2 linked regions of the Mus musculus genome follow. The protein of the gene in region 1 binds, or shares a complex with, the protein of each later gene. Links are inferred from orthologs where the notes say so. Each region holds a gene or a part of one and is shown on either strand. Other genes may lie near its edges.

Evidence for each region.
Region 2: Zbp1 (region 1) and Aim2 share a complex: the UniProt entries of both Homo sapiens proteins name them as parts of the AIM2 PANoptosome complex. The link is inferred for Mus musculus from reciprocal best matches to the Homo sapiens genes ZBP1 and AIM2.

Annotation. Positions count from the first base shown.
Region 1 is NC_000068.7:173,208,830-173,212,476, reverse strand, and holds part of Zbp1 (Z-DNA-binding protein 1), read left to right. Parts: intron 1-210; coding exon 211-378; intron 379-1,743; coding exon 1,744-1,941; intron 1,942-3,227; coding exon 3,228-3,449; intron 3,450-3,647.
Region 2 is NC_000067.6:173,419,036-173,423,446, reverse strand, and holds the start of Aim2 (interferon-inducible protein AIM2), read right to left. Parts: upstream 2,844-4,411; 5' UTR 2,761-2,843; intron 1-2,760. UniProt on the Homo sapiens protein: Sensor component of the AIM2 inflammasome, which mediates inflammasome activation in response to the presence of double-stranded DNA (dsDNA) in the cytosol, leading to subsequent pyroptosis.

The DNA.
Region 1 (3,647 bases):
GGCTCCAGCTGTGTCCATCATACACGAGTATGGAAGGCTGTGGCCAGCTGCAAGCAGCTCCTGAATCTTTCCTTGCACCCTCTTTCTCAGGCCCCCAGGATGGGGTCTGGGTTCAGGTGTCAGCAAGCTCCCAGGGAAGTTCAGTGCTGTTGATAAGAGACACCTCCTATGTCTTCAAGACAAAGAACTCAATGGAATATTATTCTCTAGCTCATTCTGGAGTCACACAAGAGTCCCCTGCGATTATTTGTCAGCACAATCCGGTCAACATGATCTGCCAACAAGGAGCCAACAGCCACATCTCCATTGCCAATTCAAACGCCATCCAGATTGGTCACGGGAATGTCATAGTAAGAGAGAAAGCCTGTGGTGAGCCAGGTAAGAGGAGGGTCCTGGCTGAGGGGGACTGAGAGGGGACCTGGTCCTCCAAGGAGAGAGCAACTGCCTCACCTCCTCAGGCATGCCTTAGGCACGGCCTTTCTCAGAGTGAGACCCAAGGACCACACCTCACCTGCACTCTCACTAATTTTGCTCCTTCTCAATGAGATCAAAACCTTTTGTATGAGAATAATTCGGCTCCCTCTCTCTCTCAGCAGGACACAGTGAGATGGTTACTGCAGTTCTCTGCTCTGAACACATTCCCGTCTCTCAAATTGTGTCATGAAAAGTTGGGGTCATCTTACACTCAGTGGCTTCTTATCTATATATCTATCTACTTACCTACATATATCTATCTATCTATCTACCTACCTACCTACCTATCTACTTGCCTAAATGTGTGTGTTTGTGTGACTTTGTGTATGAGTGTGTTTGTGTGTGCATGTATGTGTATGTTTGTGTGTGTGAGTTTGTGTCTTTGCATGTGCATGTATGTGTATGTTTGTGTGACTGTGTGAGTGTGTTTACTGGAGCCTACTCAGAAGCAGAAGATGTTGTCAGGTGTCCTGTTCTGTCACATCTCATCCATACAGCGTCTCTCACTGAACCTGGAGCAAGACTTGCAGACAGGAAGTTCCAGTGAACCTGTCTCAGTGTCCCTCAGCACTTGTGGTACAGTTGCACGCAGCCAGGCCTGGCTTTTACATGGGTGCTGGGATCCAACCCCAGGTCCTATGTTTGCAGGGCAATGCTCTTACCATTCCCAGCCAACCCCCAGCCTCAGCATCCTGGTTTTGATGCAAGTCGGTGCTGTTCAGGGAGTGTTTCCTCTGTAATTCGCATATGGCTTAGAGGGTGTGGGGCCACCTTACAATCTGTCCCTGTCAGCCACGCACAAGAGCATCATCAATTCCAAACGCAAAGTCTCTCCATGCCCTCAGAAGAAATCTGTTCTACTGTAGGCCCATTGCCCCATCATGACTCCCCTGGTTTTTATGGCCCTCCTTCCTGTCTGGCTATTTTACTTAGGAGTGTTAAAGGGCTCAACATTTTCAGATTCAAATGTGTTTGAAAGTTTCTGCGTTCCTTTAATTTGAAAATCATAAGAGAAAGACTAAAAACTGAGCACCCGAGAAATAAACACGGCCAGGACCCTTCTCAGGAGGGTTGGTGGACATATTCTCCCTTGGGGGCCTTTCCTTTGATGGGGTCAAAGGTTAAGGAGACCCAGCAGGCAGGTGTCCCAAAAGTACCTTGGGCCCCACTGAGAATGCAAATTGCCCAACTCCAGCTGCTTCAGGTGCTGAGCCTGTGAACAGATCGATCTGGAGTCTCTAGCAAATCTTTAATCTCCTTCCCTCCCAGGTCCCAGGACCTCTCACCCTCTACCCTTGGCATGGGACGCCTCTGCTCAGGACATGCCCCCTGTTGCCCACGGAGCTCAGTACATCTACATGGACAAGTCCTTGCTCCAACAAGTGCAGCTTGGCCACCACAACGAGATGAGCCTCGTGGGGGATGCAGGGAAGCACCCCTCTTATAGCTTTTCTGACAGCCCCCCAGGTATGGTGGCCTCTGTCACCCCACAATATTTAGAAAGAACCCAGAAGCCTGAGTTTTTGCCAGGAGAGAACCATGTGGCAAAACTCATTTCTGCCTTGAGAGGTATCGCTGAGGAGCGCCGAGGTTTTAGATCTGGCACTCGGGGTCCTCAGGCTCCCAGCACCCACGTGCAGTCAGTCAGCACCTACAAATAGGAAGGAGGCTGAGTGGGAGGAAGCCGGGTCATAGGGGTGGCGGAGGCCTGGATGGTGACCTAAGGAAATAAAGGAAGCCAGTAGCGAATTGTTATAACAGTGTCCCGATGACACAGTGACTTGAGAACCCTGCCAGAGGCCTGCCAGCAACTGTAGATTCTTAGATGATTGGAGGTTTCAGGGGGACTAACAGAGCCAGGGAGAAGTGTTTTCAGAGAGGAATTGGTCAGCGAGTCAGAGTGTAGCAGCGGGACAGGCAACCAGGGCTCTGCGGTCACCTTCCATGACAGTTTCTTAGAGTGGAGGGAACCTACATGTAGGGGGTTGGGAAAGCCGTGTATGGACATTTCCTGACTTTTGAGGGTGAAAGTGAAGTGGTGACAGCAGGGTTCAGGGGACACTGAGGTGAGGCTGGGGCTGGGAAAGAAAAGGTATGGACCATAGTAGGACTGCATGAAAAGGTATGGACCATAGTAGGGCTACATGAAAAGGTATGGACCATAGTAGGACTGCATGAAAAGGTATGGACCATAGTAGGACTACATGAAAAGATATGGACCATAGTAGGACTGCATGAAAAGGTATGAACCATAGTAGGACTACATGAAAAGATATGGACCATAGTAGGACTGCATGAAAAGGTATGGACCATAGTAGGACTACATGAAAAGATATGGACCATAGTAGGACTGCATGAAAAGGTATAAACCATAGTAGGACAGCATAAAAAGGTATGGACCATAGTAGGACAGCATGAAAAGGTATGGACCATAGTAGGACAGCATGTTCTTCATCTGCCAGCTGGGAACTGGCCACAGAGTAGATGGAAGGCTCCAGAGGTCCAGAAGAAGATGTTGAGATCAGAGTGGTTTTGCTAAGCTTGGGGCAGGGTGTGGGGATGGTGCTGGTTTCCAGTCCAGTGGGGACATGTTCCGGGACACGAGGTAGGGTGTCCAGGCAAAGTCTATGCGCCAGATCTGCAAGGTTACTGGTGAGAATGAGTCGTGAGGATGGGACCCCCAGGTTGGGTGCACATGCCAGGGCCCTCTGCAAACTGCCCGCTTCTCCTGGCTTCTCTCTTTGCTTTACTAGAAGTGTCAACCACCACTGCTGACCCAGGAGCTTCATTCAACATGCAAACATCTGAGCCAGGCCCTCACCCTGAGGGAGACACAGTCCAGACAGTCCACATCAAATCCTGCTTTCTAGAGGACGCCACCATTGGTAACGGCAACAAGATGACCATCCACCTTAGGTCAAAGGGTGAAGTCATGGAGTCTGGAGACAGTGAAGAGCCGAAGAAGGAAGACACAGGTGAGCCTGGGCATGGGTGTCTGTGTGTGCCCCAACCTCATTCATTCACCCTGGCTTCAAGCATCAAGGCAGTGGCCTGGTGTAAGGACACAAGGGTCTGGAACTCAGTGAGTTGACCAAAAGCCAGCATATAGATCCAGGCTGCAGGGAGGATGCAGGTATAGACACCAAGGTAATGAAGAGCCACAGAGGGGCTTT
Region 2 (4,411 bases), on another chromosome or scaffold:
GTAGCATGGCAGAGAGATCTCTACAAACTCAGCACCATGCCAGTACCAACATGCCTTCTCCTGAGAATGATTGCCACAGGATGGGCTGCCCCCACCACAGATTATGCAGTTGCTTCATGGGAGTATCCCAAAAATCCTGTGCTTTGCTCTACACTCCCTATACACTTGTCTGTGACTAAACAGCTATCCCTATGGTGTAAAAACTTCCAAAACTCCTTTTGAAAATAAAAATGGAAAAGATATGCACTTGAGGGATAAACTAGTAAATCAACTGCTGTTGTTCACCAATCAGTTCGTTTTGTCCAGTAAGGCATCTTGTAAGTCTTAGAGGAAATGAGTCATGAATCAGGCAAGATTTCTTCACTATCCCCACAACAAATACAAGTATGTATAGCTGTGTAGTGTACAGGCTGGGGCTGTGTAGTGTAACTCAAGTTGGTCGTCAGACTATGTCTATTTGAGGAGGTAACATTTAAACAATTACAGAGATAAATAGAAAGAGTAATTCTTATATCTTGGAGCTAGATCTAAGGGAAGGTATACAGCCTTATCTATGTACTAAATCACAATGGATTATTCACTTTGCAGTGACTGGCTGTATGCTAGTTTACCTTATTGAAGCAGTAAATGTGATGTTATTCAGTTTCACCAAAAAGTACATCAGAAAGCATTATTCTGGGATAATGATAAATGGCGTTTCCCCACAAGATGTATAAATGGGACTTTTAAAAACATGACTAACATAATATGCATCATTCTGTGTAAAGAATAATCTTAAGTGTATTTTTAAAAAGAAGAAAACAAACATGGAAATATCATATGAAGCGATATAAGATGGTTACACAAGATTCAAACATTTCAACTGACAGAACGCACATGAATTAGACTCATGGGTTTAAAAAGAATGCTAAACTGGAATAAAACCCACTGTGGTGCCTGTGGTGTTTAAAAAAGACACAGTGGGGGAAATTGAAGTGCTGAGTAGCTGCAAAGCAAAAAATACGTGAACATATGTATCAGGCACTAAGCACAAAAACTCTAGTTAGAGCAGCTCTATCAATATTAGTCAGAGAAGACTATAAGACAAATAGTGCCATTAAGGACAGAGTTGCTATACAACAATTAAATGTTAAAGTCATCAAGGTAATATAACCAACAATTCTAAACAGTAAGCACCTCATTGAATAAAGTCAACAGTTGTAAACAAAATTTGACAGTTCTCCACTAACAAATGGCAAATGTACCATGATGGTCAGAAATTACAAAACATTTCCTTCAGTAACTAACGCTTTAAATAGCCAAGAATAAAATAAAACAAAAAGCAAAAAAGTAGAAAAGTTGAACAACATAATTAACAACTATGTTCTGATACTTAGAAATACTTACCACACTTTCGGTAAGGGCACAAAGGTTATCACTGAGTTCCAAAGAGTAGTTACTGTATTAGTTTCTTTTTTTTCTTCAATTTTTAATATTTAAATGTATTTTATACATCAAACATATTAATAATATTGAGCATTTTGAGAATCAAATAGTCTGTAAAAATGTGTTCAACTTTTATATTGATATCCTTTCATACCCTAAAAATATCATTAATGAATATTTAATACAGGAGAACACAGTAAACAGCTATAAGCACTTAAAGAGGCAACACAAAAATCTCTTAAAGAATTACAGGAAAAAACAATCAAACAGGTAAAGGAAATGAACAAAATCATCCAAGATCTAAAAATGGAAATAGAGACAATAAAGAAATCACAAAGGGAGACAACCCTGGAGTTAGAAAACCTACAAAAGAGATCAAGAGTCATAGATGCAAGCATCACCAACAGAATACAAGAGATAGAAGACAGAATCTCAGATGCAGAAGATACCATAGAAAATATTGACAAAACAGTCAAAGAAAATGCAAAAAGCTCTTAACCCAAAACATCCAGAAAATCCAGGACACAATGAGAAGATCAAACCTAAGGATAATAGGTATAGAAGAGAGCGAAGATTCCCAACTTAAAGGGCCAGTAAAGATTTTCAACAAAAATATAGAAGAAAACTCCCCTAACCTAAACAAAAAGATGCTCATGAACATACAAGAAGTCTACAGAACTCCAAACTGGACCGGAAAAGAAATTCCTCCTGTCATAATAATCAAAACACCAAATGCACCAAACAAAAAAAGAATATTAAAAGTGGTAAGGGAAAAAGGTCAAGTAACATAAAGTCAGACCTATCAGAATTACACCAGACTTCTCCACAGAGACTATGAAAGCCAGAAGATCCTGGGTAGATTTCATATAGACCCTAAGAGAATACACATGGCAGCCCAGGCTACTATACCCAGCAAAAATCTCAATTACCATAGATGAAGAAACCAAAATATTCCATGACATAACCAAATTTACACAATATTTTCTCATAAATCCGGCCCTACAAAGTATAATAGATGGAAAACACCAACACAAGAGGGAAACTACACCCTAGAAAAAAGCAAGAAAGTAATCTTTCAAAAAAACTAAAAGAATATAGCCACACAGATATAATTCCACCTCTAACAACAAAAATAACAGGAAGTAGCAATCACTTTTCCTTAAATATCTCTTAGCAATCACTTTTCCTTAATATCTCTTTTCAGTTCCCCGCAAAAGACAGAATTGGATATGTAAACAGGACCCAGCATTTTGCTGTATTAGTTTCTTTTCTGTTTTGATAAAATGTCATGAACATTAGCAACATAGGGGAGAAGTAGGTTTTAATTTTACTTACAGGTCCATGAGGGTGGATTTCATCACGACAAGGAAAAAACCTAGCAGCTAGTTAAGGAAGCATGGCGGCAGACAGGACAGGAAGCAGGCAGGACAGGAAGCAGGCAGGTTGTGATTCTTGCTCAGACAAAGAAACAGAGTTACAAGTGAGACCGCCTATCACCTCTCACAGGCCGCCCTCAGTGACCCACTTCCTCCAATAAGGTTTCTCCAGTAAGTTCCTCCTTGTGAAAGTCCCAAGACCTTCCGGAGCCACCAGCCGGCATATATTCAAACCTCAACAGATACCATAGGAATGATCCTTCCCCCAAATTCCAGGGATTTAACTATGGAAATGGGAAAGCAGGATCCAATTGGAACTAGACTGAAATAAACTTGCTATTACCTAATAAAGTAAAGGAAATAGAGATTAAAAGCACATATAATTTTTAAAAGATGCCATGTCACTTGAACATTTGGGATTATGGAGTAACATTATCTGCTTGGCATTTCTTTCTTTTTTTTTTTTTTTTTTTTCTATTTGATTCCGTGTCTGATTTTTTTTTAATTGTTCTTTTGTGTTACTACCATGCTGGGTTTTTTTTTCCCCACATTTTTTTTATTAGATATTTTCTTCTTAGATTAAGGTTACTTAGAATTTTGAGCTCTGATGCTTTCAAGCTAACGTTACATCACAGGCTTTCTGTCATGCCATTATTCTCACCTTTTATCGAGAAATAGCTCCCTGGCCCCTATGTTTCTTCCCCCTTCAGCTAGAAATCAAAAGCCCTCTTCTAAATATAAATTCATGTCAATAAAACACCTACAGACCAACACACCCAGAAAATCAGAGTTCCTTTTAGGCTCAGTCTGGGTCAACCCTCTGAACAATATATTCTAATTCCTGCCACGGCCAAATGCACTTTCTTTTGTAAAGGTCTCAGTTGTGGTGCAATAAAAGATAACTTCTGTTCCTCAGTCAACTGAAGGTTTAGAACCAGGCTTCCTGCAGCCTTATTCTTTTCTAGAATACAGTCAATACTAATCCCTCTTTCTAACCTCAGAAACCCAGGACTCTCTTTCCTCTTAATTTACTGATTAGCAAAATGGTCCTAAAGCTTTCTCTAGAAAACTTCTGACATATCTTACTTACCTCAGGGGATTTTCTTCTCTCCAAAGCAGCCTTAGTTCTCAACTCAGGGACTGGTGTATGTCCTGAGAGTTCAAACCATCCGCCTCACAAAGATTTTCACTATGAGTAGTAGGACATGAAAATCATGAAAATCAGGTCTTGGGAGACAGAAAGCAGAAAGTACTCTCAACTATCTTCTTTCACTTTGAAGCTTGGCTAGTCCTGGCCCTATAGCTGAGTCCTAAACCCTGATGCTGGGGCAAAATAATTATATATTAAGGCTCTGCCCAAGCAAATGCTAGTTTTCAGTTTCCTTTTTACAAGCCTCAGCAGAGTTTCTCCTCCAGCTGTGAGGTCTCAACCAGAGGTATTTTAGATATAGGGAACTCCACAAAAGTTATTTCCTGCTTTACCAGGGAGTTCATAGCCTAAGGGACAAGCCCAGCCCAATGCACACCACCCACTCACTTACTGGTGGTTGGTTTTCTTTGATTTCAACATCAACACACAAAAAAGGGTGGGCTCTGCATAATCAGATCTC